Linked DNA regions of Caenorhabditis elegans. The protein of the gene in region 1 purifies or fractionates together with the protein of each later gene. This does not show direct contact. Each region holds a gene or a part of one and is shown on either strand. Other genes may lie near its edges.

Region 1 (9,749 bases):
AAACATTTTTGACAAATGCCGAAAAATGCCGAACATTTTTCGGCGTTCGCCCATCTTTCGACTAACTTTTTTGGCGAACGGCATTCGCCGTTTGCCGTTGCAGCACAGCCCCGCAACCTCTCGTTTTTATTTGATTATTGCGGTTTTGCCCCATTTCTTAAAAAAATTACGTTTTCAAATTTCATGTTTCTTTTATTTTTTTCATTAAATAAATATTTCTATCGAAACAAGTTGAACGTGCTCAAAATAAATGAAACCTCCGCAGCAACGAGAGCTCGGAACATACAGTACTATTTAAAGGCGTACACCTATTTTCATTTTAAAATATTAGCAAATGAATAATAGTGGAATTAACAAACAATGAAAAACTTGAAAACCTTTAAAGCAATAATTAAGCGTTAGAAAATTATATCTTTTTTTAGGTCATAGTCACTCAATTAACCTGGAAGGCGCCCAATAGATGCCTTTCTCCTTCGTTTTCTCTGCGTCTCTTCTCTTTTACTACTTATTATATGGGTTTTGAGTATTTGAGGTTTGACACGGATAATAAAGAGGTTAATAACTTGTATTATTAGTTTGTTTAGTTCCAGCCCCATACAATATAGACGCAGATTCAATCAGAACCAATATATAAATGAGAGCGCTCTCACTTGTCTCCTCACTGTGAAGCAGTTCTAACCGTTCAAAGACGTAGCTTCATTCTCTTTCGTGTACGCCTGGCCAAACAAAAGTTCCCGTGTCCTCGGTAGTATAGTGGTGAGTATCCGCGTCTGTCACATGCGAGACCCGGGTTCAATTCCCGGCCGGGGAGAACTTTTTTGAAAAATAAAAAGGATTTTATGTTCAGATTCTCAAAAAATGTTCTCAAACTCCGCAAAAATTGTGTTAATCTTCGCTATTTTGTTTTTTGATCTCTGTCACGGTTGTGCTGGCCTATTCGGAGGTGGAGGTGGTGGTGGATGTTGTTGCCAGAGTGCGTGTGGAAGAAAAAAGCGAAGTATCGATGAGGATGAGCGGCGGGAGTTCGAATTTCGAGGAATTGCCAGTAAAAACGAGGATTTATTGTGCAATAGTCCAGAGATGAAGGCAATGATCCAGGCGGTTTGTGGGTACAACATAATCCCAAAAAATATACATTTTCAGCATATGAAATCCAATCCACAAGCATCCAGTAAATCGCTTCAATCAGCTCTAGAAGATCATGATTCTCATCGATATGTTGTTGTCTGCTCAGAGGTAGAAATCATTCGAAGATGAAATAAAGTTCAAAAAGACCCCAAACGACCGGATTCCATTTTTGCAAAAATTTGAAATTATGTCAACTTGTTCACGTGGCAGGGATTAGGAAAAAACAACTTTTGTTTGTATATTTGAGTCGTTTATTCCTTTGGTAGATTCTCAGTTTATGGGCACCTAAATGTAAATTTGGGTGCCTATTCAACCTAAAATCAACCTAAAATGAGTAATAAATGACTCAAAAAATATAAAAATGATACCTGTGGGTATGCCTTCTCATTTTAAAATTAAATTGCATGCCTAAATATACAAAAGTATACGACACGTTTTTATTTTTTATAACTTACAAAAATTACTTTTAAAATGAGGGGGAATTACATAAGTACCAAAAAGGTTAACTACACCGCTGCCACAAGAGCAAATTAGCAAACTTTCCTATTTGAACAAAAAAAGTCCATTTTTAAAGGATTTTAAACAGCCATAAGTCGTTTGTGGTCATTTTGAGTTTATTGATGGAAATATATAATCGAAATTTTTCCTTTTTTGTAGAATCCCTTCCACTATTCCATCAAACATGATTCAGCATACTGCGGAGCACGGAATGGTTCTCATTATTGTCAGGCATTTGCGATATAACTTTACGAAAGGCTATTTTGTTTTTAATTATCCAATAAATTTTCATGATAGAAATAAATAACAAGCTCTTTAACATCGCAAAACGGTAATAAATCGACTAAGAATTTAAGCCAATTGTGATTTTTCCAGCAATGGTGGCATCGTATCCACATCAACTACGTTGATATATTCATCTTCTTCTGCAGTTTCTGAATCCACAACTTGTTCGTGATGTTTTGCAGAATTATTTTCGGAAGTAGTTGCCTGAAAATTAAATTTTTGAGTTTTCAGAACAATTCAACTGTCTGTAAAACCTCTAAAATGGGCAATTTTGTAGATAGAGGACTCAAAATTGAACTCCGAACACTAAAAATTGTATTTTTCCAATTTTAAATGGATTTGTACATTTACATAAAATTGACCAATTTTGCCACCAAGCCGTATTCCACTAATACGGAAACTACGTCGTTCAACAGGGGTTTTTTCACTTCCGACGCGCTCGACCGGCTGTACCAGCGGACAGCCGCACAGCCGATAAAATCAGGTGAGAATAATTACATTTTTTTCCTATTGTAATCAATATATAGAGAAAATGATTAACAATGAAGGATCGGAGGAGCCGTTATTTGCCTAGTCAGGTTACAAATCGTGGTTTGTCTTCTCAAATGATGTGCCTTTATTTTGGTCGAAAAGGGCATAGACTTAGGGCCCTATTGGTGTACACTGTACAGTTATGCCGGATTCGAAAAAAGGAAAATTAATTCAAAGTTTTAGATGTTTGCTAATAATAAGTAGGATTGAACGAACCGCAAAAAAACGTTGCCGCGTAGATTAGGAAAGTGAAACCTTTGTCATGACCAATTTTCATATCCAATTTCAACCGAAACAATTTCCCGGATTTATCGGTTTTAGTGTATATTTTCAGTTTACTAATGAAACGTGTACCTATTATAGAATCACCCTTATTTTTAGTGTTATCAGCAAGCATAAAATCATAACTCTTATCAATAGTACTGCTTCTCTGCATCATTCACAATTCTTCTCTTCCATCCAAACAGGACTCCATTGCCAATAAAATTATTTTAATTTTGCTCTCTCTGGGAGAAATTTGGAAACCAGAGATGTTCTCATCACGGATATGGCTGCTTCTGGCCGTTACTGTGGGAGGTAGGGAATTTTTTTGAAACAAAAACTGCTTGAAGGTGGTGTAGTCGAATTGTCTGAAAACACCGAATTTCATAATGAATTTTCTCGAAAACTTCTCAAAAAAAAGGTTATGTGGCTCAAAGAATGACCTGGGATTAGTTAAAATTTTAAATTTGACTTGTCAGAAAACGCAAGATATTTAACGGGTATAACCAAAATTAGACGGCAATTTCAACAAAAAAAGTTTCCAACGGCTCCGACATTGACAAGTTAGTCAAATTTCAAGTTTTAAATAATTTTAGGTCATTTTTTGAGCCGCCATAACTTGGCAAATACTGATATATGTGAAATACTTATCAATTACGCTGTGGACCATTTTCAAATACAACTTTCGCTTTTTAACATTGTCTATTTCTGATTGAAATGATTGTAAAATAATAATAACCGTATTGCAAAATTCAAATATTTCTTCCCCAGAGTGAGGTTGTTTATACAACTCGATCCGCACAGGTGTTTACGACTACACATCGTCTCCTATTTTTCTTGATGGCACACAATTATGCTGATTAAAATATTAAAACTGATTTTACTTTCAAACACTTTATCTAACAGCCAATATATTATCTTATCAATATCAGCCATATCGAGCCCCTTAAAAATATTTTCCATTTAAAAATTTCACGCTGACTGAAGAAATGTTTTATTTATCAAATTTTTCGAGTTTTTCAAAGTTCAGGTGTTTGTCGCATGCACTTTGTTCATAATCTAAATAAATGCTTGGAAAAGTTATTTTTTAAACTTTGACCGGCGCTTACTCGAGAAACTTAAAGAGTAGAAAAAAAACATTGCAATACTAATATACACATTAAGAACTACACTTTATTAGTTTATCACTTTCTTGCATATCTACTGGTTGCTGAGATACTTTGCGTTTATGTTCATAGCCGTTGTTCAAAATGTGGTCAACTGACAAAACTTTTGACTTTTAATTTTAAACATTTTTTAATTGTGACTAATGCGAACATTAAAAAAAATTAAATTTTTCGAGTTTTAAAATTCTAGCTTGAAAATTGTTTCCTTTTCAGTTTGCCTAGCAGTTCCGGATCTCGATGAAATCAAGAAGAACCTTCGCAAACATGGTCCAGACTACTATAAAAATCAGCCGAAAATGAACGAGAACACTGTCCGACTACTGAAAGTGGATTACTGGTTCCGTACTGAATCTATGATTTACGATGATATTGATAATAAGGAGAAGGATCCATCGACCGTTATTGCTGGAAATTTCAGCTTTGAAACACTTCATCATGACGTGGAGGGTGGCATGTTGGGACGGTTTACGGTAAAATCTTTTTTCTTCGAAAATAATCTTCAGTATCAAACAAATCAAAAATTTTAAAATATGAGCATTAAACCGACTTCCTCCACAAACTGCGCAATTTGTCGTGAGGCAAGGCTCACTGAATGATTTTTTTTTGAATTTTTCAATCAAGTTTCCATAATTTTTTTTTGCAATTTGCTGAAAACGTTTTTGCATTGTCCAGACATTGTGCAGAAATGCGAAAAAAATCAGAATTTTCCCAAAACTGTGAGTTTTGCCATTTTTTGTCTCAAAATATTTTACATCTAACTTTGCGTATAAACTGACCTACAGTAATCCCAAAAATTCTACCATTATCTAGTAGTACTTGAAAATTGAAGCAAGAGCATCATATTCTACGAGCAAAAATGTCTACGAACTCATAATTTGCGTTTTCAGCTAACCCAATGCAACACTGACAACTGTGGTAATCCATCTCCAATCTACATAGCATTCCGTCAAGGTGGTAATAATGCGGAGCATATCCTTAAAGCGTCCGATGAGAGTGACGCCACCTGGAATTTCCTGTACGCAATTGTGAATACAATCTACACGCCAGCAGAGTACGGAGAAGGAGACGAGCAAACAGTCGACACAATTTACGGAAGATGCTTCGTGAACTTTGGAAGGCCAGAGGATAAACGGTTTAGAAGAATTATCGAGAAGTGTGATTTGGGTTACGGCACAAATTTTACGAAATTCGAAGGAATCGAGAGTGTTCAATATGATCAGGATGTCTGGTACACGTAAGTTAAAACATGATACAGTTTTAGGAAAAGAATAGAGTTTCAGACAGAACACAAAAGTCGATGCAGACATTATTATGGTTGATGCTATTGAGATGTTAGCATTCAAGAGTCCACTTCACGAGAAATACGGATTCACTCTGGAATCCAGGTGAGTAGGTTCTTAAAATTTGCAAACATACAAAAATGTTTTTCCATTGTTTCTAAAGGAGTCAAAAACCAAAGAAAACATTAATCTGGAGTATGGACCTGTGATGTTTTTATTCGCTGCACCTTCAAGAGTTCTGACTTGAGTAATACAGTATTAAGTTTTCAGTGATATTTTTTCCGAAAAACTGGCAGAGATTCGGCTCAATAACCCCATCCTTAACATTGTACTTATTCTAGAACTCACGTAGAAATCACCAACCGTACACGTGTCTTCGTCACCAGCTACTGTAATGATACCGTACCATCCGCCAAATGCGCCGAGCAGGCGTTTGGAGCAGTTCGTGTCGGAGGAAAACTTTACGAGCATGTCAAGATTGCGCAGGAACAGTCGAATAAGGTTATTTTTCTGAATGTAATGTAATTCAAACGCTAAAGGCATTATTCAGTTAACAAAGCTTATTGGAACATACCGCCGTCATCTTCAAGATATGGGTGACTCACACATTTGTGAGAAACATTCTTTGCTTTATAGTCAAATTGCTCAAGAAGCCCGATTGGCTAAGCGACAGGACTGGGAAGCTGCTATCCAATACCCAGAGAATGATCATGTTCTGTAAGTACATCATCACATACATTCCCAAACCAGCTAAACATTTTTTCCAGATCTCTTATCGCCAGTGCCCTCGGAGGAGTCGGTACAGCAGAATCTATCACCACTGCTCGTGAAGTTCTTCTTACCGCGTCCCCTGATTATCTTGATGATTTACTTTTTGGAATTTCACAAAGCTCGTCTAACAATGAGAAATGGCACAAACAATTGATGTACTGGCTCGGGTCCCTTGATAAAAAATCAGAAGAATATTGGAAGGTGGCTAACACAATTGCAACTGTGCTGAACAAACGATGTGAAGCATCGACAAGCAGCTTAAACTCTTGCAATAAAGGAAAGGAAACGGTAAGATCCTTACTTTCACTGAATTCTATGCGTTATTGTTGATATTCAGATTGTCAACAAATTCATCACTGACCTGACAGCTGGTGGAGTTGAAGTCAGAGTTCTCGAGGTTCTGGAGAATATTCCAATTTTCGGATCCTACACTTTTGCTAAGAAATTCATATGTGAAACTGAGTCGGAGGATGTTCAGAAAGCCGCACTCAACGTTATTCTGGCTGCGAGCAAGAATTTGTATGAAACACAAGTAAGTGGATTGAAGTATGAACAAGAGATGCGCGGCACTTCGGCACATGCCGAATTTTTTTTTCGGCACATCAGTATATGCCAAACCAAAAAAAAAATTGGCGCTCCTGTACATTTTTGAAGATACAAAATAGCTTGCTGCCAAACGCAGTGTGCAGTGCACTCTATGTATTTAATATTGAAGACATAGTAAACTATAAACTTGACAAATAAAGTCCGTACATGTATATTTATTTCTTATATTAATTGTGTTGATATAAAGTTCTCTTCACATTTAGATATGGGTCAATAAAGTATTTGAACGTTTTACAACCCCTCCCTTAACTTTTTTAGGTTCACGTGGCATCGGGCCGTCTGAAATTGTTATTAAAAATGTTCAATGCTATTTTTGTACATTAGAATCCTGCCGGCTTCTACATTGGTTCAACTTGTAAAACTCATCTTTTGAATATCTAATTTTACAGCTCACCCACAAGCTCATCAAACTCTTCCGCAACACATGCAGCCAGGAAACTCCAACTTCTCATTCTCAACTCGCCATCGACATTCTCCTCAAATGTGTCCCTGATCATCAAAACGTGGCCACCTTGATCCTGCGAACTGAGACTCTTAACCCCGATGATCAGGAAAAATGGCATTACCTGTACAAGGCTATCGAGGCAAGCGGAAACAAGGATGAACTGAAGGCCGAATTTTGGTCGCGAATGCGGAAGTTTAAGGTTTTCCGACCAAACTTCTTGCACAGAGCACTTCAGGCGGATTCTCATGTTCACTGGCAAGAGATTGCAGATGCTTCAAACTTCCAACTGTTCTCCACTGCGAACACAGAATTCTTGCAAAAATCCTTTAAGAGATCCATCTTTGAGCTATCGATGAAGAAGGGAAGGAAGGAGCACAATTTATTCTCGGTGAGGGAATTTTAAGTTTTGTTATTTTATAGGATAATTTATTGAATACAAATTTTAGCTCTCCATCGACACTGAGCACCTTGAGCAATTTGTGACTGGATCAGCTTCTTCAAGATCCGGCGCTCCACAAGGGTCTGTTCGAATTGGAGTTGCTGGTCACAAGCTACCAACTCACCACATCTTCAAGGGAAGTACTGACCTGCTTTCCACTGTCTGGGAAGCAGATGGAAGGACGCATAAGGCATTTGAAGGTCATGTTCCTGTTAGAGACGTTCGACTATCGGTGCCATTGCTCTCTGGATTGACTCTTGACGTTGATAGCGTTGGAGCAATTAGTATGAGAGTTCTTGCATCGGCGGAAGTTTCCCTTTGGAATCAGAGATCGAATGCAAAGGCAGAGGCATAGTGAGTTCTTGAAAGATCCTCTTATTTTTATTGATCGTAGGAATTAGACGATCCCTAGGCCCAACAGTTTTAGCCTACGGGTCTAGGTCTAAGGGCCCACATTAAAGAGCCTCAGCGAAGGGGCTCAGGCAAAAAAATAAGTCTTAGGTAATTTCAACTTACAATTAGGTTGATGTATAGTTTCTAGCTTTGTATAGTTACGCCTGTTATAAACATTCTTAAAAATAATTAAACATTTCAGTACATCCGGATCCTTACACCTAACGGCTTCCCTCTACCATCACTCAGAACCAGTCCGCCACGTGGAATCCACAATCTCGGCGCTCTCCACCTTCACCACAGACACCCGTGCAATTTTCGAGACTCTCCCATATGACTTCTGCCTAAGAACATCTAATAGCAATGTTGATATCAATCAGAAAACAGTTGTACAGGATCAAATTGGAAAGCATAAAAAGAAGACGCTTAATCGAAAACGAGTACATCCTGGAGTTACATACAGGTTGGATGACTCGACGATTCGGCAGTGTAATAGTTATTTGGAGCAGTTTAGATTGTAGTTGTTTGTTTTTTTTATTAACATTTCATGTTTGTTCTGGAATCAAATAAAAAATAACTTATTGAGAAATAGTATCAAGCTGAACCACCGAATCTGATAAATATACTTGCAAATCGAAAATTGAGATCTTCGAGATCAACTTGCAGATAACGAGTGCGCTTTTACCCTTAAAAGCTTGATAATTTGGCATATCTTCTCATATAATTTGTGATCCTTTTTAGAAAAATATGTTTGAAAACTGTTATTAACACTTCAGATGTTTCGAATTTCAATGCATTTTGAAAAAAAATGGAAAAGTTTTAAATGTATTAGAAATAGTTCCTAACACCCCTCTCGGTCCCTTGGCTCCCATAACTTCTGACTTCCCGCCCGTGCAACATCTCTCATATCAACACCAACGAGCCTCCTTGGCAAGGGGGCACCTGTCGGCCGAAATCAAACCAACAGGTGTGATAATGGGGGAAAGGTAGAAGTCCGGATACAACACAACGATGAGGAGTCACAAGAGGCAGATAAAGCAAAAGATGAATCCCCTCCCACTTTTTGTCGTATCAGCCAATCAGTTAATTGTTGATGTTAAATCCGTTTTTATACCAAAGCCGATAGAGAGGTTTTTCAGCTGGTTTTACCTTTTCAATATGAATTTGAAATAGTTATTGTAGAGATGACTTAGTAGGTAATTCACACACCCTTAAGTAAAAACGGATTAATAATTTCTGACCCAAAAGTGAGCTTCAATTGGATTTCACTGAAAGCCAGAGAAGTACTGAAACTTCTTTTGAACGATGGCTTCAAAACATTGGTTTCAGACAATAGTTGTAGGGTCAATAAAATGTGATTTTTACTATTTGTTTTTTATTCACAGATACTGTTTGCTTCTCTATTTTAATTTAATTTTAAATTTTTCATAAGAACCACAATGCTCCGTAGGTTCACTACAGACCAATTAAGATTCACGATATAGCTGAAACAAGTGAACACCAAATTTCAGCCATGTTTTGCCAAGACATTTTGCAAATTGGGTCGCAATTTGCAAAATGTCAAAATTCTGTAAGTAGTTCATTATATTGCTGTTGCCCTACTTAAGACTGTTTTGTACATTTCATTAGTATTCTAAAAATGAAGGAGTACCTGCAAATTGAGTTTGAGCTTGAATGTTTTGAAGTTATTAACATTCCCTTTTTTTGAATTTATTAATATTCCTTAAGACTATCGTTTCACAACTACTACAACAAATATTAACGTGGCTCTCTGTTACAATTTTGGACGTAAAGAATGCTACTATCGAAAAAAGAAAATTCTAGCGATGCTTAACCGTAAACTCATCTGGGTTATCCATTTTTTTAGTGCTCTTATCGTCGCCTACAAACTTATTTATAAAATTCCTCAGTTATGTAATTCCAGAAAAAATCCTAGCCAAAAATGA
Region 2 (9,092 bases), on another chromosome or scaffold:
CCTCAGCAGCTGTCTCTGCGGTTTCTCAATTCTCTGTACTATTTCTAGAGGGTCTGCTGGCCGTTTCGTCAGGAGGAGGTGGTGGCCTTACTCACTCAATCTGTCCCACTGACCCTTTCTTTTATTCTTCTTTCCCTCCCTACGTTTCTTGCAGTTTTGCAGTTTTTACTGATTGTCAATATTTGGGAGTTTGAATACTTTGTGAGATTTGGGGAAATTTCCAATTTTCAGCGATTTGGTAACTTTGAAATTAGATATAGTTCTGAAATTGCCGTGATTTCTCAATTTTAAAGCGGATTTTTTTTGATTTCTAATAAATATGAATTTAAGTAAATTTTCAGCTTTTTATAGTTTTAGAAAATTCAAAAAAATAGCCAGTTTCAGTTTGGCAACTTCATTTAAAAAGTGTTTGCCATTTTGGTAAATATGCAAGTTTGGCAATTTTTCCTATTTTCTACATTTTTTAAAATTTCATTCCGACAGTTTTGATAGGTGTTTAAATATTTTTGAAATCGCTCAGTTTATTTTTTCAAATTTCAAAAATTTATAATTTCGGTAACTTAGAAATTTTTTCGCCGATTTTTTCAGTTTTATAATTATATAATTTTGGCAACTAGTAAGTTTCGGGGAAAAATGAATTTTGCCAGTTTTTCAGCTATACAGAATTTTGGCAATTTTGAAATTTTTCTGATATTTTCCAATTTTGGCAATTTTTGTGTTTGCCTAGTTTTTCATATTTTAATTACTCACAATTTTGGCAACGACCTTTTTTTTGAAAAATTTGCACTTTAGCGAATTTTTGGCTCTCCTAAGTTTCAGCAAATTTTAAAATTTCCAAATGTATCATATTCGGCAATTTTGACAACAATTTTTGATGATTTGGGCAATTTTACAAATTTCTTTTTTTTTTTTGAGACATTGGCCATATTGGAACGTTGAAAAACTATTAAAAAAACTAGGCACATTTTCGGTTATTCCAAATTTCGAAAAATTAAAAAACTGCTAGCTTTTTCGGCAACCAGAACATTTCCAATTTTCAAAATTCCGGCAATTTGTTACGTTTGGAATGCCGATTTTTTTTGGGATTCCAGCAAATTTATTTAGGTGATCCGATAATTTTTCGTATACTTGGCAACTTCATTTTTTTTCCAAAAAAGGGAAAATGAGAAAATGAAATGTTTTTTTTGAGTCACGCAATTCCGGCTCCACTTGCTATTGTGCTTTTTTCTGTTAAAAACATGCATAACATCCAATTTTTTGGCGCCGGATTTTTTTTTGGAATTCGGAAGTTCACCAACTTGAATATTTTTCCCTATTTTTTTGGCAATTTTTTAAACAAATTCCGGCGATTCTAAAATAGCCCAGTACTTGACATTTCAAATTCAGTTGGAACTACCCAATTATTCCCAACCTGACACCTTTTGTCTTTTTCCTATTCAAACTTTGTGAACCTATATAATTATTTTTTTCCCGCCTGCGTCTCTCTTCCTCTCTGCAAATACTTACGATTCAATAGAATACGTGAATTTCCGAAGACCTTCGCGACGAATCTAGTTCACAGTCGTTTCTTTAGATTTTCCATGGATTTTGATTTATGAAACTTTAGAAGTATTGCAAATTTTTTTTAGGTCGAAAGCTTTTTCTATAAAAACAATATAGCAGCCGACACTTCACTGGGTTAACTTTACAGAAAATACCCGCGAGTTGTCGGCTGCTGTAACTCCCTTTGCAGCAATGATAGCAAGAGATTGGTAAATAGCAAATTGTAGAAAATAAAATTTACAACAATTTGTTAGTTGAAGACATTTTTCTATGTGTAATGCGAAACAAATTATGGCAGCCGACACTTCAATAGGTTTTAGAGCTAGCGAAAACCCCGTGAGACTTCGGCTGCTACAAGTTTTTCAGTTAGACATTCAAAAGTTGTAACTCACAATTTTTTGCGTCTTGCGGGTTTTAACTGAAAAACTGGAAACGGTTCAGAATTCAAAAAAAAAATGTTTTTCGGTTGATGCTTCTAAAACGTTTTTCGTGATAAAAATTGAAAAAAAGCGAATTCAAAAATTAACTTTTAGCAGCCGACATTTTATGGGCTTGAGTTATATTTCTCTAACCCTAAACACCAAAGAACCTATATATCTCACACTTTCACTATCATCAAGTCAACGTCAGTTTTACTCATTTCTGCGTCTCGTTTTCTTATTTCTTTCGCATCTAATTGTTGTAAGTCTACGTGGAGAAACCAGCCTTATATAGCTGAACCAACTTCCTCTTTTGCAATTTTTTCCTTTCTTTGTGTTTTATGCCAGAACTTTGAAATCACAAAAGTTATTGTTAATTTAATATTTAAGCTACCTGAAATTTCCTATATTTGGTCAATTAACAATTTTTTAGCAGCTAGTTCAAGAAGTAAGTTAAAGCAGACGACATCTAGCGGGTCAGAATTTTGGAAGCTGTGAGATGTCGGCCGCTATATGCTTCTTGAGGAAAACTGGTGTGGTAGCCGACACCTTGCGGGATTTGATCCCCGGGGTTTCCGGATCTGTAAGATGTAGGCTGCCACAACTTTTTTAAACTGACAAAGTTAAGAAATCAAAATTTCCTTTTTTCCGGTAAGCACTGTCTTTTGGCTATTTTAGGCAGCCGACATCTTGCGGGTCTTGCTCAGTTTTGATTTTTTTTTTTCGAACCCATGAGATGTCCGCCGCTATAATTTTCTCTGGCGTTTGTGTCAAATCTTTATTGTAAACTTTATCCGCTTCCCGTTTTGCAGGTTTTTAATTCCCTAACTCTCAATTTTTCAGAATGCGCCTGGCACTCCTTGTACTAGCCACAATCGGCTATGCAGTTGCCGATCTGTTCACCTCGATTGCCGACATGCAAAACCTTCTGGAAACTGAAAGAAATATTCCGAAAATCCTTGACAAATACATTCACGACGAGGAAGAGCGACTGGTTCAGCTGAAGAAGCTGTCGGAGGAGTACTCGAAGAAAAATGAGATTTCGATTGAAAATGGGCTCAAGGATATTACGAATCCGATCAATGCGTTTTTATTGATCAAGAGAAAGGTAATTTTGTTTGCAATAGGTTTTAAGTTATTGCAGCCGACATCTCACTGGCCGTTTTTTCAGCCCGTAAGGCGTCGGCTGCTATGACTTGTTTTTAACGCTAGAAAAAAGTAGTCAACTATGATAGCAAAGTATAGGAAATTTCATTTACTTAATTTTGTTAGTTGACGATTTTTCACTCAGTCCCGTAGTTTTACTGTTATTACAGCCGCCATCTTACTGGCTGCACTTTTTAGAAATCCGTGAGATGCCGGCTGCTATAACTTTTTTCCCATACATTTTAGAAAAAAGTTGTCAACTGACAAAATATAGAAAATTTCATTTACTTAAATTTGTTAGTTGACAATTTTTCACTCAGACCCGTAGTTTTCCAGTTATTGCACCCGACATCTCACTGGCCGTTTTTTTTCAGCCCGTAAGGCGTCGGCTGCTATGACTTGTTTTTAACGCTAGAAAAAAGTAGTCAACTATGATAGCAAAGTATAGGAAATTTCATTTACTTAATTTTGTTAGTTGACGATTTTTCACTCAGTCCCGTAGTTTTACTGTTATTACAGCCGCCATCTTACTGGCTGCACTTTTTAGAAATCCGTGAGATGCCGGCTGCTATAACTTTTTTCCCATACATTTTAGAAAAAAGTTGTCAACTGACAAAATATAGAAAATTTCATTTACTTAAATTTGTTAGTTGACAATTTTTCACTCAGACCCGTAGTTTTCCAGTTATTGCACCCGACATCTCACTGGCCGTTTTTTTTCAGCCCGTAAGGCGTCGGCTGCTATGACTTGTTTTTAACGCTAGAAAAAAGTAGTCAACTATGATAGCAAAGTATAGGAAATTTCATTTACTTAATTTTGTTAGTTGACGATTTTTCACTCAGTCCCGTAGTTTTACTGTTATTACAGCCGCCATCTTACTGGCTGCACTTTTTAGAAATCCGTGAGATGCCGGCTGCTATAACTTTTTTCCCATACATTTTAGAAAAAAGTTGTCAACTGACAAAATATAGAAAATTTCATTTACTTAAATTTGTTAGTTGACAATTTTTCACTCAGACCCGTAGTTTTCCAGTTATTGCACCCGACATCTCACTGGCCGTTTTTTTCAGCCCGTAAGGCGTCGGCTGCTATAACTCTTTCAAATGCGTTTTAGAAAAAAGTTGTCAACTGACAAAATGTTGGTAATTGACAACTGTTTTACCAGTTCAAAGTTAAAAAAGTTAGAGCAGCCGACATCTCCCAGGCCACGTTTTTTGAAAACCCGAACATATCGGCTGCCTTAATTTTTCTCTAATTTTTATTAGAGAACGTTGTTGACTAAGTAATAGTAAGTTTAGTTGAAATCTTTTCAAAATTTTGGCTGCTCCCAACTATTGGTAAAGCCTCCAGTTTCTGTGTTATTGCAGCTGACATCTCACTGGCCGCACTTTTTTTGAAAATCCGTGAGATGTCGGATGCTATAACTGTCATAACTTTTTTCTCAAACGCTCCAGTTACAGAAAATTTTCTACAACTTTACAGTTTACAACTTTTGTCTATCTCAATTTCTAAATGGCCTATAACCCCACAAATCTTCAGATCTTTGACTGGAAGGAGATCGAGTCGAAAATGAACGCAAATAAGGCTGGAAACGTGGTCTCTTCAATCACAGATGACAGTTATGGAGTACGGTACCCAACAGCCGATGACTTGAGTGGAGCAGCTATTGGGCTCCTCCGTCTTCAAGACACTTACCGCCTCGACACCAAGGATCTTGCCGATGGAAAGATTTACGCGGATCAGGGAAATTACACATTTTCCGGTAAGCTTAAAGTAATACAAACTTTAAGTTTATCTTTAATTTTAGCAAAGGACTGTTTTGAAATTGCCCGTGCTGCTTACAATGAGCACGACTTCTACCACACTGTGATGTGGATGGAGGAGGCGCAGAGAAGACTCGGCGACGAGGTGGAGCCAACTGTGGAGGTGGAAGATGTGAGTTATCTTGGCTGGAGAGGAAGATAGAAAAATATTTACAACTAGTGAATTGTGCAGAATTAAATTTACATTATTTTTTAGTTTATAACTTTTTTATAGCTTGTTTCTTAGTGGAGTTATAAAGAGTTTTAGCAAAAAAATTTGAATTTTAAAATAAAGCACGCATATCTCTGCAATGAAAGATTTTATCAAAAGGTTGTCAATTGTTAAAATGTGTAAAATAAAATTTTCTACAATTTGTTAATTAACAACTTTTTGCTAAACTTGCGTCGAAGCAAGTTATGGCAGCCGACACCTTGCGGGTCCAGAAGCAATCCAAAACCGGAAGATGTCGGCTGCAACATAACTTTAATCCTAGTTTAGCTGCGGGAGAGATGTTAACTAATAAAGTGTAAAACAACTTTTTTTAATTGCTTTGAAGCAAGTTATGGCAGCCGACGCTTTACGGGGCAATCTGTCGGCTGCTGTAGACTTCGAAGGCGGATAACTCTGCGGGTATTGAATTTATCAAAAAGTTTTCAACTAACAAATTATAAAAAAATTAAGTTTTAGATACTTTAATAGTTGAAATATTTTTGATATCTTTAATAGCGGCGGAGAAACAAGCGTAAATCGCCAAAAAGCTATGAGAAAGTAGCCGAAATTTTAAATGCAACTTTTTTCACCAAAAAATTTAATTTCCAGATTCTCGAATACCTGGCGTTTGCACTGTACAAGCAGAACAACTTGAAGCACGCTCTAAAGCTTACAGAGGAGCTCTACAAAATGAGTAAGTTTTTGAGACCGCGAGATGTCGGCTGCTACTCAGCTATTGTAAAATCTAAATCTTCCAGACCCAACTCACCCACGCGCCAAAGGAAATGTCAAATGGTACGAGGACCTTCTCGAGCAAGAAGGCGTCCGTAGAAGTGACATGCGCAAGAACCTCCCACCAATCCAAAACCGCCGTCCCGACTCTGTCCTAGGAAACACTGAACGAACAATGTACGAGGCTCTGTGCAGAAATGAGGTTCCAGTGTCCCAGAAGGACATCTCCCGTCTCTACTGCTACTACAAGCGGGACCGTCCGTTCCTTGTCTACGCTCCGATTAAGGTGGAAATTAAGAGATTCAACCCACTAGCCGTGCTCTTCAAGGACGTGATCTCCGACGATGAGGTGGCCGCGATTCAGGAGCTCGCGAAGCCAAAACTCGCAAGAGCCACAGTCCACGACTCGGTGACCGGAAAGCTTGTCACAGCGACTTACCGTATCTCTAAAAGCGCGTGGCTTAAGGAGTGGGAGGGTGATGTTGTGGAGACCGTTAACAAGCGAATCGGATATATGACAAATTTGGAGATGGAGACCGCTGAGGAGCTGCAGATTGCGAATTATGGAATCGGAGGACATTATGACCCGCATTTCGATCATGCCAAGAAGGAGGAGTCGAAGAGTTTTGAGAGCTTGGGAACTGGAAATCGTATTGCCACTGTGTTGTTCTATGTGAGTTATATTAAAATGCAAAAACCCGTCAAGTGTCGGCTGCCAGCTAACAGCCCGCAAAGTGTCAGCTGTTGCCTTATAACTCGCAAAACGTCGGCTGCTAATTAGATGCCAGTATTTTGTCGGCTACCATATAGTCCCGGCAAAGTGTCAGCTGCTAGGTAGATCGCTGAACTTGTCCGGCACTAGCGCACGCGACAGCGAGGGATCCATTTTTGCCGGCTGCTAACTAACCCCGCAAAGTGTCAGCTGCTAGCTAACGACCCGCGCAGTGTCGGCATCTAGGAGCCTGTAGCTTGTTGGTTGCCACTCAGAACCCGCGAAGTGTTGACTGCTAGCTAACAACCCGCAAAGTGTCGGCTGTTATCTAAATCCACAAAGTGTCTGATGCTAGCTAACAAGCCGCTTAGTGTTGGCTGCTAGCTAACAAAACGCAAAGTGTCTGCTGCTAGCTAACAACCCGCAAAGTGTCAGCTGCTAGCTAACGACCCGCGCAGTGTCGGCATCTAGGAGCCTGTAGCTTGTTGGTTGCCACTCAGAACCCGCGAAGTGTTGACTGCTAGCTAACAACCCGCAAAGTGTCGGCTGTTATCTAAACCCACAAAGTGTCTGATGCTAGCTAACAAGCCGCTTAGTGTTGGCTGCTAGCTAACAAAACGCAAAGTGTCTGCTGCTAGCTAACAACCCGCAAAGTGTCGGCTGCCGACTCAAAATCAACCTATTATTGTTTCAGATGAGCCAACCATCTCACGGAGGAGGTACCGTCTTCACTGAGGCCAAGTCTACAATTCTGCCCACCAAGAATGATGCTCTCTTCTGGTATAACTTGTACAAACAAGGAGACGGAAACCCAGACACCCGTCACGCCGCCTGTCCCGTTCTTGTCGGAATCAAATGGGTTAGTTTTTTGTTTCTGGTGGGAGCCCGCGAAATGTCGGTCGCTTCTTATATCGGTATTTGCGTACTTTCGCAGCTACAGTAACCCACAAAAACACCTCTAGGACCACAATTTCATGAGGAATTCGAATTTTAACTTGTTTTTCCAGGTATCCAACAAATGGATCCACGAGAAGGGCAACGAGTTCCGTCGTCCATGCGGCTTGAAATCCTCAGACTACGAAAGATTCGTCGGCGACCTCGGATACGGCCCAGAGCCAAGAAATGCTCCAAACGTGTCCCCAAATCTTGCCAAAGACGTCTGGGAGACCCTCTAAGCATTGGTTTTCATTGTTTTCTGTTTTTTTTCTTTGTGCCGCATAATTTATCCCCACACACTACCGGGTGGTTTCTTACATGTTTTCTCTTTTTTCTCTTGTTGCCTTCGATGAAGTTGTCTGCCTTTTTCTTTGCCGTGAATAAATTATTTTTTACTTTTTAATTATGTTATTTGAAAGCAGCCGACAATTCCCTAGTGGATCCTGTGAAGTGATGGCTGCAAGCCTGTAAAGCGTCGTATGCAGAATAGAAACCTGTAAGAGGTCGGCTGCAAACCTATTAAGTGTCGGCTGCTGAGTAAAACCCCGTATAGCGTCGGCTGCAAAATAAAAAACCGTAAGAGGTCGGCTGCCAACCTTTTAAGCGTCGGCTGCTGAGTGAGAGCATGTATCGTATCGGCTACAAAACTGTTTAGTGTCGGCTGCTAGATAGGAATCCGTAACGTGTCGGCTGTCAACCTATTAAGCGTCCGCTGCTGAATAAAAACCCTTGAGATGTCCGCTGCCAACCTGTTAAGTGTCGGCTGCTAGATAGCAACCCGTAAGGTGTCGGCTGCACACACACTGGATATTATTGATTTTCCGAAAACTTCCGAATTTTTCTTCTCCTGCTTACCTTTTTCCGTAGTTTTATCATTTTCTCATCATCACTTTTTCGCATTGACAGACCGCCAAAAACGTTTTATTATGTTTGTTTGCTCTTTTTCTTATCAGTGCTTAAATATTATGAAACATCTTTATATGAAACTCCTTTTTTTGGCATTCTCGTTTTCGAAAAAATTGAATTCCAACTCGTTTTAAGCAAAATTTTGAAATTTTGGCTTAGATTTTTTGGCAGCTTGTATCTTTGCATGAATGCTAGAATAATTTTGTCAACTGATAAATTGTAGAAAATTTCATTTGCTATATTTTGTTAGTTAACAATTTTTTAGTAACTGTTGTGGTTGGCAAGTTGCAACCGTGTAAAGTTGTAGTACATAAGCGTCACTGGTTATTTGCTACAAATGCTTGTATCTTTGTAGGAATGAGAGATATCAAAAAGTTGTCAACTAGGGAAATGTAGATAAGAAATTTTTCTACAAATTGTATGTTGCAATTTTTTTTTCTAGCTTTAAGGATTAGCGAGATATGTGCTTTCAAAAAGTTAAGGTTTAAAAAAATTTTATTTTGAAATTTTGAAATTTTGCAATTCCTATTGCGAAATTTCTGTTGATCGTTTAGTTTTTTTTTAACTTATAGTTAATCTAGTTTTTTACAGTACAGTGAACTATGAGAGAAGTAATCTCAATCCACGTGGGGCAGGCGGGAGTTCAAATCGGAAACGCTTGCTGGGAGCTTTACTGCTTGGAGCA
Region 3 (5,423 bases), on another chromosome or scaffold:
CTGCTTTGCAATTTCATTAATAACTACACTGGGACCACCCAAGAAAGAAGTTCCAGTATCCGAAATCACGTCAACAACTTTTGCATTCAAATATTTTCCCAGTCGGAATCGATTTGCCTTGAACTGAAAATAAGTGGCAGATGACAATGGCTGATATCCAATCACTGGTTCACAATTAGTAGTGTCTACTGCTCCATATGTGAACACTCCTCCTCCAACATTTGTCAATGTTCCTCTATGTTCCAAGAATACACTGAACAATGGTTGATCAAGAATTCCTTGTTTAATAGCATTGATAAGTGGTGGAACTACGCCATCAACAGCCAATGTAGTGAATGCAAGACCGAATATTCCATCGGTGGCGTCGTTTTTTAAATCTGCTGAAACTTGGTTTGCAATTCCGAATGTCGTTTTTGGGATTGCTAACTGATTTTCTCCGGTCGCTCCAATCTACAAAATTTTAATTGAAAGTAAGAATAATTGTTTAAAAATTATACCTTCACAATATCTTGTCAAATTTGTGTTTCGACTCACAATTTGCTCTAAAAGTTAAGTGTAAAAGTTCACTTTTAAATTTCATTCTTACTTGCATGATGTCCCTGGAATCCAAAGATTCGCGGAACCTGTGTCAAGGACAACAATAAAGCTCTGATCAGGAGTTCCAATAGTGATGTTTCCAAGATATTCAAAATCGGCAAAGTCATTGACCTAAATTAGTGTATGTGTTTATGAGAAAAATATCAAATAAAAGTTATTTTTGAAAGTTGGCTAGTTTCTATTTAAAAATTGTGAAACTTGCATAGAACAGGTTATCAGTACAAGTTTTAGATTATTTTAAAATTTGGATACGTTAAAAAAAACTTACATTCTGTGGCAAACTCTGTAGCTGCCAAGGATTACGGTTTCTTTGTCTCTCGAGATGTTTCTTATATGTTGCCCATTCTCCACTTCTCAGCATCTCGATCCTTTTTGATGGTTTCCATAATATTTTACTTTGATGTACTAATCCAGAAACAAAAACAAATAAACTTATAATTAAAATTATTGATCGCATTTTTCAAAAAGTGATCAATTTCCCCCTTTTCAATTCTGGTTTTAAGCTTTTTTTCATTTTCTTGCATCATCAAACGGCGGACTCGTTAATTTCGCTGATAACACAAGTAAACTGATAAGAGGAATGAAACATCGTGATTAAAATTCAATGCAATTCATTTCTGCAGAAAAATTGTTTAAATATTAGTTGTTTCAATTGTTTTATTATTGAAAAAGTATAAGTACATAAATAGTAATATATATTTACTTTTGGAGAGATGGAGCGAATCCCATTCTCTTGTTTCCAATATCGTAAATGTTGCAGTATTGACGAATGAATGGATCTCCAAGAATCCATGATGGTCCGAATCCTCCGAAATCGAATGGGAAGGCAGCGAAAAGGCATTGACCGTTTCCGGCATCAACGATGTAGTTGACTGGCTGGATGGAATAAGTGTTGGTTCCAATGGTAATATCAAGAGTTCCTGGCTGGGCAGCGCAGTCGATGAAGTAGACCTCGTTAAAGTCATCATAAGTGGCTCCAGCGGCCTTGGCGAGTCCGTCAACAACAGATTGTGGTCCTCCGAGGAAGGAAGTTCCGGTGTCAGAGATAACATCAACGGTCTTGGTGTTTGAGTATGATCCGAGTTTGAATCCGGCAGCCTTGAATTGATAGTAGGTGGCAGAGGAAAGTGGTTGGTAGGCAACAAGGGCTCCGCAGTTGGTGGTGTCAATGGCTCCGTAGGTGAAGACTCCTCCTCCAACATTGTTGGCGGCTCCTCTGTGCTCAAGCCAGACTGAGAAGAGTGGCTGGTCAAGGATTCCTTGGTTGATGGCGTTGATGAGTGGTGGGACAACTCCGTCGACGGCAAGGGAGGTGAAAGCAAGTCCGAGAATTCCGTCGGTGGCGTCATTCTTGAAGTCAGCGGAAATCTTGCTGGCAATTCCGAAGGTGGTGGTTGGAACAGACAATTGGGAGTCTCCCTTAGCTCCGAACTGAAAATCAATTTGATAAGGACTGATTTTTTGTAAAATTCACTTTGCCAGCTAATTTATATCAAGATTACACAACGCACACATTAATGCATTGAAGATAAACTTACTCTAACGGTATCTTGTCCGAGGATTCCGGCGGCATCTCCTGATCCGTATTGGATGGTCCAGGACTTTCCGTTCTTAACGAAGGTGCTGGAGGCAGTGGAATCGAACTTGCTCTTGGTCTTGCAGTTGGTCCTTCAAATAATCTTTTTAAATATTTCAGAACTGAAATCTACTCACTTGCAGGTTGGTCCTGGAATCCAGAGGTTAGAGGATCCGGTATCCAAAACAACGATGAATCCTTGATCTGGGGTTCCGATGGTGATGTTTCCGAGGTACTCGAAATCTCCAAAGTCATTGACATTTTGTGGGAGATTAGCAAGAACATTTGGGGACACAGCTCTGAGATTTCTCTGGTATTCAAGGTAAGCTGGATATTGTCCAGTACGGATCATTCCCATCTTCTTGGATTCCCTCCATACGATCTTGTGTTGATGGACTGAAGCCGATGCAAGGCCAAGAACGGCCAGAAGGATGAAGGTCTTCATACCTGAAAATAAATATTTCAGAAAAATATTCTAAATGGAAATGAAATTGAAAGTGTAGATAAACGAGTGAAATAATTTTCAATTTCAAGAGCAAAAATTGAAGTAGAAAATGTCAGATAGTGCTATGTTTTATACTTGTTGAGAAAACTCATGGGCGCACTGACGTAAGTTTAATTGGTTGATAAGAACCGCCTTCTTATTTGGTTTGTACCCGATCGGTGCGATTCTTATCACTAAAAAATGAAGTTTAGTGAAGAGAGTAGTGCCGATGATTCCGGCTTCTGGAAGTAACGACTGAAAACTGACGAAACAGCTTTTATGAGCTAATAAAACTCGAGTATTAACTGAATCAAAAGTGCGTAAAGTTCCGTGAACGGTACCCGGAGATGGATGACATTTGAGTCAAGTGCTGATAGGTCAATACCAGGTACACACGTAGGTTTACTGGCTAAATCCGGAGTAATACGTGATGAATTACGTAAGCGATAGGAAAGTATACAGTTTGAGCATGGCTAAAACTTGAACAGACAGAGTCCAAAGGATGATATAATGAATGACGAGAGCCTTATTTAAGGCATCACTGTAAGATTTTCCAACAATTCAATTTGCTCTGTATTATAGTTTTCAACATTATACAGTTTTTGAATTGAATAAACTTTTTGAGTTGGAAGGTTCTTAACGGCACTTTCTATCTCATCTTACTTCACAGTTAGTAAAATAGTTACAATAGTGCCCATTATTTGAATTTTATTTGAAAATTATGTCCATTTCCAATTGTTCCACAGCATTTTTTTTTGCAAAACTCCATATTTATATGTAGATAAACTTTTTGCCAGAAAACTTGCCAGGGAATAGTTAAGGATGAATTTTCAGCCTATCTTCCTAAAGACCCCAAATATAAAATTTTTGGTGGATTGCAGAGAAAGCTAGGCATGGTTTCAAGTTTTACAGTTCACCCTTTTGAATTGGAAATCCAATTAATACTGTACGCTTGTTTTGCAAGTGTACCCAAATGACATCACTATTTTCTGCAGTTTTTTTTCCGGCTCTGTATTATTTTGGCAGTCAACATGATAGCTTTATTGACATTTCTTTAAATCAAACGTTTTCCTCAATCATTTCCGCTGTTTTACTTCTCAACCTGTGACAGTACAAACATCTTGATCATCACGTGCCCAATAGCCAGGCATGTTGACTATGAGCCGGAACTTTTCTAGATAAGCTTCTTACGAATCTAGATACGTATTCTGATTTATTATCAATAATTTATCGCATCAGATCAAGAAAGTGAGAGTTCTTGCGTCAGATTGAAAGAATAATGGCCAAAGTTTCCAAACTTTGCACGGACATTCTAGTTTGCAAAGTTATGAGCTGAAGAACGAAAAATATTAGGTTTCTATGGTATTTAATCTTAAACGCATAAATTTTAGGAAGAAAGAACCATTTTAGTTCTTGAATACTTGTATTACACTTTCAAATACCCATATTTCAAGCATAATAGGACTACTGAACTTTTTATCGTACCGGGCATTCACACAGTCTCGCACAAAAGTCAACCTAAATGATATTGTATTTCAAACAGTTGTTCGTTGAAAAACTAGTAGAATCAAGAAACAAACATGATTTCAACCAAAATTAATGAAACCTCTTTTATTTCAAAACACAACACGCACTGAAAACATCGAAATATTCAATAAATCTTTTCAGAAATGAAGACAACTCTTCTCGCTTTTGTAGCCATTCTTGGCATGTGCTCGGCAACTGTGGTTCAGCATAAATTGATCTATCGGGAATCGCCAAAGATGCAAATGATGAGGCGAGGAGAATGGGGAGCATACGTTCAACACAAGGCTGCCCTACGTGACGCCAATCCAGCTGTGTTCGCCAGTGCTCCACAAAATGTCAATGATTTTGGAGATGTTGAATACCTAGGAAATATCACGATTGGAACTCCTCCACAACAGTTTATTGTCGTCTTGGATACTGGTTCTGCGAATCTCTGGGTTCCAGGAAGTAACTGCGAGTCAGTAGCCACCTTACACAATGGTTTTTAAATTTTTATCATTTTCAGTGGAACATGCAAAGGAAAGAGCGAGTTTGACTCATCTAAATCTACAACATTCAAGAAAAACGGACAATCATGGCAAATTCAATACGAATCTGGAAGCGCTAAGGGAATCATGGGAGTAGATACTGTTGCTTTTGGTGGTGCTTCAGAACAACAACTTCTTGTCCCATCTACCACTTTCGGTATTGCCTCTCACATTTCGTCTAACTTTAAGAATGTAAGATCTATTTCCCAGATTATTTGATTCTTCATCGGAACGAAACTTTCAGGACGCTGCTGAAGGAATTCTCGGGCTTGCCTTCACATCTCTTGCAGTCGACGGAGTTACCCCACCACTGATCAACGCCATCAACAAGAAAATTCTCGATCAACCTCTGTTCACAGTCTTTTTAGAACATAAGGGAACGGCAAAGAATGTTGGAGGAGGTGTCTTCACCTACGGAGCCGTTGACACTACCAACTGCGGACCAGTGATTGCCTATCAACCACTTTCATCTGCCACGTATTATCAGTTTGTTGCTGATGGATTTAAGCTCGGATCATACTCAAACAATAAGAAATCTCAAGTGATTTCCGACACTGGAAGTTCGCTCATCGGAGGACCAAGTGCTGTGATAAATGGCTTCGCTCAAGCTTTGGGAGCAAAAGTGAGTATCAGTTTAATTTTGACTCGTTGTGAGGGACAAACAGTTTTTTTAATCTTTATATCTAAACCTTTTCCAGTACCACAGCGATGA

Evidence for each region. The genes of interacting proteins can lie anywhere in the genome.
Region 2: the proteins of dsc-4 (region 1) and dpy-18 fractionate together in Caenorhabditis elegans (co-fractionation; one large-scale study listed by BioGRID). This does not show direct contact.
Region 3: the proteins of dsc-4 (region 1) and asp-6 fractionate together in Caenorhabditis elegans (co-fractionation; one large-scale study listed by BioGRID). This does not show direct contact.

The regions. Positions count from the first base shown.
Region 1 is NC_003282.8:313,694-323,442, reverse strand, and holds dsc-4 (Microsomal triglyceride transfer protein homolog), read left to right. Parts: upstream 1-2,898; 5' UTR 2,899-2,972; coding exon 2,973-3,018; intron 3,019-4,082; coding exon 4,083-4,339; intron 4,340-4,756; coding exon 4,757-5,103; intron 5,104-5,149; coding exon 5,150-5,254; intron 5,255-5,490; coding exon 5,491-5,650; intron 5,651-5,699; coding exon 5,700-5,866; intron 5,867-5,916; coding exon 5,917-6,208; intron 6,209-6,257; coding exon 6,258-6,452; intron 6,453-6,915; coding exon 6,916-7,359; intron 7,360-7,417; coding exon 7,418-7,764; intron 7,765-8,005; coding exon 8,006-8,324; 3' UTR 8,325-8,387; downstream 8,388-9,749. Other genes in the region: grl-26 (Ground-like domain-containing protein), read left to right, coding at 859-1,101, 1,144-1,236, 1,786-1,872; snai-1 (C2H2-type domain-containing protein), read left to right, coding at 9,746-9,749. UniProt on the Caenorhabditis elegans protein: Catalyzes the transport of cholesteryl ester, and phospholipid between phospholipid surfaces. Does not catalyze transport of triglycerides. Required for the assembly and secretion of plasma lipoproteins that contain apolipoprotein B.
Region 2 is NC_003281.10:11,371,693-11,380,784, reverse strand, and holds dpy-18 (Prolyl 4-hydroxylase subunit alpha-1), read left to right. Parts: upstream 1-2,804; 5' UTR 2,805-2,805; coding exon 2,806-3,069; intron 3,070-4,647; coding exon 4,648-4,870; intron 4,871-4,915; coding exon 4,916-5,043; intron 5,044-5,730; coding exon 5,731-5,815; intron 5,816-5,879; coding exon 5,880-6,526; intron 6,527-7,259; coding exon 7,260-7,424; intron 7,425-7,572; coding exon 7,573-7,740; 3' UTR 7,741-7,899; downstream 7,900-9,092. Other genes in the region: tba-7 (Tubulin alpha chain), read left to right, coding at 9,010-9,092. UniProt on the Caenorhabditis elegans protein: Catalyzes the post-translational formation of 4-hydroxyproline in -Xaa-Pro-Gly- sequences in collagens and other proteins.
Region 3 is NC_003283.11:8,266,318-8,271,740, forward strand, and holds asp-6 (Aspartic protease 6), read right to left. Parts: upstream 2,621-5,423; 5' UTR 2,619-2,620; coding exon 2,311-2,618; intron 2,266-2,310; coding exon 2,136-2,265; intron 2,029-2,135; coding exon 1,297-2,028; 3' UTR 1,194-1,296; downstream 1-1,193. Other genes in the region: asp-12 (Peptidase A1 domain-containing protein), read left to right, coding at 4,328-4,641, 4,690-4,903, 4,956-5,333, 5,410-5,423. UniProt on the Caenorhabditis elegans protein: Aspartic protease.